2 linked regions of the Macaca fascicularis genome follow. The protein of the gene in region 1 purifies or fractionates together with the protein of each later gene. This does not show direct contact. Links are inferred from orthologs where the notes say so. Each region holds a gene or a part of one and is shown on either strand. Other genes may lie near its edges.

Evidence for each region. Proteins that work in one complex are often made in the same cells at the same time.
Region 2: the proteins of UXT (region 1) and RPAP2 purify together in Homo sapiens (affinity purification with mass spectrometry; 4 studies listed by BioGRID and IntAct, counting the BioPlex papers as one, with this or other methods). This does not show direct contact. The link is inferred for Macaca fascicularis from reciprocal best matches to the Homo sapiens genes UXT and RPAP2.

Annotation. Positions count from the first base shown.
Region 1 is NC_088395.1:47,757,502-47,761,250, reverse strand, and holds the start of UXT (protein UXT), read left to right. Parts: upstream 1-1,225; 5' UTR 1,226-1,267; coding exon of another isoform or gene 1,268-1,479; coding exon 1,480-1,577; exon of another isoform or gene 1,578-1,586; intron 1,587-2,533; coding exon 2,534-2,615; intron 2,616-2,757; coding exon 2,758-2,825; intron 2,826-3,107; coding exon 3,108-3,215; intron 3,216-3,449; exon of another isoform or gene 3,450-3,587; intron 3,588-3,749. Other genes in the region: uncharacterized protein, read right to left, coding at 1,268-1,481. UniProt on the Homo sapiens protein: Involved in gene transcription regulation. Acts in concert with the corepressor URI1 to regulate androgen receptor AR-mediated transcription. Together with URI1, associates with chromatin to the NKX3-1 promoter region.
Region 2 is NC_088375.1:142,136,127-142,139,850, forward strand, and holds the start of RPAP2 (putative RNA polymerase II subunit B1 CTD phosphatase RPAP2), read right to left. Parts: upstream 2,830-3,724; 5' UTR 2,806-2,829; coding exon 2,733-2,805; intron 1,689-2,732; coding exon 1,643-1,688; intron 119-1,642; coding exon 4-118; intron 1-3. Other genes in the region: GLMN (glomulin), read left to right, coding at 3,344-3,412.

The sequences.
Region 1 (3,749 bases):
TCTAAGCTCTATAGATGGAAATAGCATTTGGAGATTCATCCCATGGTCTGGATTCTTCTCCAGGCAAAGGCCCATTCTTGCTGGGTTATAAGTTCTTGTTTGAAAATCTAACCTGAATTTAAGGCATTTCAGTGATAGACTGGATTAAGAAAATGTGGCACATATACACCATGGAATACTATGCAGCCATAAAAAAGGATGAGTTCGTGTCCTTTGTAGGGACATGGATGCAGCTGGAAACCATCATTTTCAGCAAACTATCACAAGAACAGAAAACCAAACACTGCATGTTCTCACTCATAGGTGGGAACCGAACAATGAGATCACTTGGACACAGGAAGGGTAACATCACACATCGGGGCCTATTGTGGGGAGGGGGGAGGGGGGAGGGATATCATTAGGAGATATACCTAATGAGTTAATGGGTGCAGCACACCAACATGGCACATGTATACATATGTAACAAACCTGCACGTTGTGTGCATGTACCCTGGAACTTAAAAGTATAATTTAAAAAAAAAAAAATCTAAACTGAAAAACAAATTCACTCAGTCACTCTAGTGCATAAGAATAAATTCACAAAAACCTTACCATTTAAATAAAAACATGGGAACTATGCCTAACTACAAGATGGCCAATATTCTGCAGAGGACTTCAGCCACCCTCTCCATTTGACTATCAAACGAGGTGATTAGATATAGTGCGTTGTCAATTTCCGCTTGAGCCTCAGTTATAGGTTGCAGGTACAGAGCTGGAGTTATCAAAGATGAATTTTAGAAAATCTGTCTCTGTTTAAAACCTTTTAAGTGCTCATACTCAGTCCCATTGCCAGGAGTGAAACCCAAACCTCCCGTATGACAAATCAATATCCAAGCCGACAGATCACACGGGATCTTCCTTATAGACCAGAACCATAGTCAATTCTTAGGTCCTTTTAAATATTAAACTCTTCACTTCCTCTCTCTACCTCTACCTGTGCGTCGCGCCTAACTTAGAACCGCCAAATCCCATTAAATCCCACCCTCACCAGCGACGCACGGTCTCCATAGGCTCCACGCGCCGCTTTTGCAGTCCCCCATTGGCCGGTTTATTGCCAGATGGCCTGCTCCCACGCCCTAGTCATCTTTGATCTCCTCGGATTCCGTGAAGCCCCGCCCTTCTCTTCTCCCCTTTGGCCCGTCTTCCCCAGCTGGCTATTTGGTTGGCCAGCGCGCTTGCCACTTACGTCATTCACCCGCGCCACCCGGAAGCCGCGGTTCCTACCAACCGTTTTTATTGCTGGCGGCCCTGAGGTAAAGGCCGCGCTTCGGTGTCCCTGGGTGGCCGGGTCCCCGAGTTGGGAGGGGCGGAAGGCTGAGCCCCCAGCTTGAGCCGGACAAGTCGATTCCCAGCGTTGAGAGGGTAGAGATGAACTGTGTGTGAGGCCAAACTGGAGCGGTCAACGTGGTCTTCCCCCTCCCCACTCCCCAGGAGCCCATCATGGCGACGCCCCCTAAGCGGCGGGCGGTGGAGGCCACGGGGGAGAAAGTACTGCGCTACGAGACCTTCATCAGTGACGTGCTGCAGCGGGACTTGCGGTGAGTGACAGTGCAGAGGGCGGGGCGTCTGGAACATTCCACGTGGTGGGTGGGGCGTTCAGAGTTAGGGCCAACCCTTTGGATTGGTGGGCGAGGCGTTCAGAGTCCGGCCCCGCGCTCCTTGGAGCGTGAAGTGGTGATGATATCCGGGGTGCAGTTTGGCTGGGACGTGGCGTTCATAGCAGGGGGCGTGTCAGCGCATGCGCGGCCTCCGATGTTTGACGGATTAGGGCTTGTTTTCTGGAGCCACAGTTCTCAGGTTCGAATCCTGGCTCGGCCATTCTTCATCCTTGTGAATACGTCATACCTCGCCTTTCTGTGCCCTATAAACTTCTCTGTGAAATGGGGAGTTTTCTGGAACCTTCCCCATACAGTGGTTTTGAGTTTTTCATATGTCCCATCTTTGTAAATAATTTAGTAGCATGGATGCCTGAAACATAGTAGAGGTTAAGTATGAAGAAATATTATTGCAATTTTTGTTAATCTAAGCAAGAAGTAAGGTGTTCAGAACTAGGACTATGAGCATCCTAAAAGGGATGGAGGATTTTTCTAGGGTGAGGATGGGACATTATGATTGGAGTTCAGTATTGGGAGTGTAGTAATAGTAATAATAGCTAACATGTAGAGAGTTTACCATTTGGTAGGCATTATTCTAGATGCTTTGAGTAAATGCTCATTTAATCCTAATGACTCTACAAGGTAATACTGTCATCTGCATTTTATAAATGGGGAAACCAAGTCCCAAACAGGTTCCTTACTTGCCAAAGCCACACATCTATAAAGGACAGAGCCCAGATCCAAACCCAGGCAGTCTGACCCAGAGCCCAAAATTAACTTGTACACTAAAAAGCCTTTTCAGCGTATGGTGACGTGAGAGTCTCAGAGGGTCATGATATGAGGTATACTAGGAGGAATGGGGCTGCCTATTGGTCACCATTGTACTTTCATCCCATCAGAAAGGTGCTGGACCATCGAGACAAGGTATATGAGCAGCTGGCCAAATACCTTCAACTGAGAAATGTCATTGAGCGACTCCAGGTAAAGACTATGGGGTTGGGTATCATTTTTTTGGTGTGTGTGGGTAAGGGAGGGAAATGGGAAGAGAGACTCCAGAGCCAAACCTGTCACCTGACCTAAGAGTTCACCACTGACCCCTACCTCTTTTTCCCTGGCCCCACAGGAAGCTAAGCACTCGGAGTTATACATGCAGGTGGATTTGGGCTGTAACTTCTTCGTTGACACAGTGGTGTGAGTGTCTACCCGCCCCTCTGAGCCCACAGGGTTCAGCTTACCCCTTCCCTCATGCAACATATATTTTTTTGAGTATCTTCTATGTACCAGGCACTATACAAGGTTTATTATCCCAGTAGGATATAAGCTAGGCGCTGGGGATGTGACAGTGAATAAAATAGGACAAAATCCCTGCCTTCCCAGAGCCTCAATTTGGGGAAGGGTGGGGAGCAAAACATACACTCTGCTAAACAGTGATAAGGACTTCCCCCGCACTTCCTCTAACCTCTCTTTCCTCAGCCCAGATACTTCACGCATCTATGTGGCCCTGGGATATGGTTTTTTCCTGGAGTTGACACTGGCAGAAGCTCTCAAGTTCATTGATCGTAAGAGCTCTCTCCTCACAGAGTAAGTCCATTCCATGAGGATAGTGTGTAAAAATACCACCATTTCCAACACTCTTCTCCCTTTCCCCATGGCTGCCTAGAATGATACTTAAGGACTCATCTCCCCTCCTCCTCAGAGCTGGGGCTGAAGAAATGTGGTTGCAAAGCCCATGTATAGCACATAATAAGCATTCAAAAAATGATCTTTGTATCGTTCATTCATGCAGACATTTATTGGGAATCTTCTGTATGCCAGGCACTGTGCTTAGCAGTGGGAATGCAGCAGTGAACAAGACAGAAGAGTTCCTTGAAGGCTTAAAATCTAGAAGGACTATACTGTTATACATAAATACAATTATGACCAGATCCATGAGGTCTCAGCCTGTTAGAGTTGGTAACAAGAAAACTAGTTACCTGTGATTTCACTTCCTGCTAATTTTACTATTCATTCACTGTGTTCCTGCCACACTGACCTTCACATGCTTCTTTCAGCACCCCAAGAATGATCCCACCCCAGGGCAATTGCCGTAGCTGTTCTCTCTGCCTGCACTGCCCT
Region 2 (3,724 bases), on another chromosome or scaffold:
TACACACTCCATTAGGAACTCTTCTGTAATATTCTCTTCTAAAAGCTGTTCAACAATATGTAGAGCTTTTCTTTCAAATTCAATCTTCTTTCTCACAGCTGCTTCTAGTTCTGCTTTCCTAAAATTTGAAAGAGAAAGTTAATCTACTTATAAGCTTCATGTCCAATATTCCATTTTTTAAAATACAACACTAACCTAACTCACTATTTTGCCACTTAAATTTAAACATATTTAAAAAATTTTTTTGAATAAAAATATTTATTTCTTTTTAGTTGTAAAGACAAGGTCTCACTATGCTGCTTAGACGGGTCTCAAGCTCCTGGCTTCAAGTAATACTCCCACCTCGGCCTCCCAAAGTGCTGGGATCACCAGCATAAGCCACCATATCCGGCCAAATTTCTATTTTCTAATGCTGTTACTTTTGATCCAATACTTTTCAAAAAGGAAACAAGCTACTTTTTGCACTGCACATACAGAAATCTTTATATACTCTTTGTCTGGTTAATGTCTACTTAGCATGCAGGTCTCAGCATAAGGCTTTCCCTGAAAACTCACAACTAACCTCCTTGCCACCCACTTCCAACTAAATTAGACTTGATTATTCTTTCTCGTAACATCACAGCCTTTTCCTTCATAGTGCTTATCACAATTTGTAATTATGTGTTTATGTTAATTAACTATTATTTATTCCTCTGTTCCACTAGACAAGAATTGTGTCTATTCTGTTCACCATATCTTCAGAGCCTAACACAGGTCTGGTATATCTTATACTCAGTAAATAATTTTTGAAAGAATGAGTAAATTAAGACCAAAGTCAATATAAGATTAATAAGTCTTCACAAAATGAAAATCATAGCTACATATACTTTTAATACCCTTCACATTCTATTCCTCTTCTAAAACTTTGTGTGATATGTGGTAATATCTTGCCTTTTGAGAACCAGAACTAGTACAAGACAGCTTTTTTCTTTTTTTGAGACAGAGTCTCACTCTGTTGCCCAGGCTGGAGTGCAGTGGCGCGATCTCAGCTCACCGCAAGCTCCACCTCCCGGGTTCACGCCATTCTCCTGCCTCAGCCTACCGAGTAGCTGGGACCACAGACGCCCGCCACCATGCCTGGCTAATTTTTTGTATTTTTAGTAGAGATGGGGTTTCATCGTGTTAGCCAGGATGGTCTCGATCTCCTGACCTCGTAATCCACCCGCCTCGGCCTCCCAAAGTGCTGGGATTACAGACGTGAGCCACCATGCCCGGCCAGGACAGCTTTTTGATGAAAATCTGGACTTGATGTAACAAAGAACAGAAAAGGTTTCTTGGAGTGACAGAGAAACTTGGAGAGTGAGTCTCTGGCATATAAAGCAATAAAAGGGGAGTGTACCTGAAGTGGTGAAAAACAAACACCTTCTACAGACACTCACGCCTTCACTAGCAGTCTGAGTGCTTAGTTTGGTTTTCTTAAAGCCTGGAGTAGAGGAATGTTAACAGTCTATGTGAGAATTTATAGGCCTTCCCAGATCTTTCCCTTCCCTCTCATGATAATTTTCTCTAAAAATAAAAAAAGGTAACTATTAGTTTTAAAATTGGTACAAGTAATATGAGATAAGTAGATATGCCATTGTAGTTGTCCATGTAGCTGTCATACCTTTTAGAAGCATCTTCTTGTTTCAAAGTAGTTGTCTGTTTAGTACCTACAACAAAAATACAGTCATGTGCCACATAATGACATTTCGTAAACGACGGACAGCATACAGACAGCGGTCTCATAAGACTAAAATACTGTATTTTTACCGTACCTTTTCTATGTTTAGATATACAATTGCCTACAGTACTTAGTACAGTAACATGCTGTGCAGGTTTGCAGCCTGGGAACAATAGGCTGTACCATATAGCCTAGTGTGTAAGTAGGCTATACCATCTAAGTTTGTGTAAGTGCACTCTATCATGGTCACATAAGGATGAAATCGCTTAACAACGCATTTCTCAAAATGCATCCCCGCAGTTAAGCTACACATGGTGGCAGTAGGTCAGGCCTACACAAACACATTAGGTACAAGATAGATTCCTACACAAATAACAAACTAGACGAATTTTTCTTCTTTTCCACCTATTTTATGTCCAATCGTGTGTAAATCAAAATGAAATAGGTAAAGGGCAAGCAATTTGTTTTTGCAAATTGATTACTGTCTAATTTTTCTTGGTTAAAATGTATCTCTTTGGGGATTGAATTTTCTTCTGTATCATAGTTGCTTAATCATTCCTGAAAATCTGAGATCTGGGTACTTTTTAGGGAAACCTCTCTCTCCGTCTGCCAAACGTCCTCTTTGGGAGAAGAGGGGAGTCCGGCACCTCAAAGAACGGGGCACCCAAGCAATCTGGAAAGGAGGACCGGTCCTAGGTTCAAGACCAGCTGCCAACGCTGCCCTAGTCACTTGCCCCGAACCCCGGGGACCCTAGGCCTGGGTTCCCGGCGCCTCCACTGTACTTTCTCTCAGAGGCTGGGGCCATGGCCCGCGTGAGGGAAATCTTGCAACACTGGCGTAAAGGGGTGAGGGCCGGCCAGGAGATCTTTCCCAGGGGGAGCGGACGGCGGTGGGAAGCTTTCGGCCTTCTCTACCTGGGAGAACCCCTCCCCTGAAGCAGCCTTTCAGGATCGCCCGTGCGCTTCGGTTTAGAACTCGAGATCGGGGTCCAGCTTTCAGGGTCCCAAAGTGAGAAGACATCCTTGCTCCTACCTGTGGCTTTTCGAGAGCGGCGAGGAGCCCCGGCCTTGCGGCCGGCAGAACCCGGCCCAGTACAGTCCGCCATCGGGGAGAGTAGTCTGCGGAACCCGGACTAGCTCCGGCGTCTCGCCCCGAGGCCCCGCCTTTCTACGCGTAGCGCGAGGCGGACCCCGCTGGCGTGGGGCGGGGCCAGAAGAGCGGGCTAAGTGGCCGGAGGAGGTGGTGGCGGCTGGGAGAGGCGAGAGATCTGGCCGGTAAGTGGAGTAGTGGAGAGGTTCGGGGTGGCCAGGGCTCGCGGTTGGCCGTGAGCCGCGGCGGACTTGGTGCCGCGGGCCGACTAGGCCACGCGAGGTGGTGGAGCCTGCACACCTAGGCGAGCAGGAATCGGAAGACATGGCTTCCTCTGATGCCGCCAGCACGCGCGCTGGGGTGTTATTCGCCTTATAGCGCGCTGCGCTGAGAACCGGGCTGACCCGCGCCACTACTGAGGGTTTGGGGCTGAGTCTTGCCTCCGGGAGAAGCGATGGTCTCCTCCTGAAGGCCGCCGTTGCCTTGCCTCCGTGTGATACAGTGATTTCACTAGCTGGATTGATCACTTTGGGTACTGCAACTCCTAGAGAGAAATGGGATGGAGGGCATCTGAATCTTCACCCCCTATAGATAAACTTGTGTTGCACCCCAATTTTTGTGAGGTGAGACATTAAAAAATCCCCTAATGATTAGAATTTTGATTTCAGGTCCACCTTTTGGAATTTTTTTTTCATAAAAGAAGTACTTTGCTTTTTAAAAGCCCTTTAGTTCGTATTTGCCTCGCCTCTTGGGAGTACTCGGGAGTTTTTTCTTTTTTTCCTTCAAAATAGCTTTCAAAACTATGCTCCTAGAAAACTTAAAAGATGCAATAAGGGCTTCTTAAAAAACACTTTATTTTCTTAGACAAACATACTAAGATTCAGTAATAACATTTCAACCTTAGAACTTTACATTTTCTCCTAGCATGCTATTGG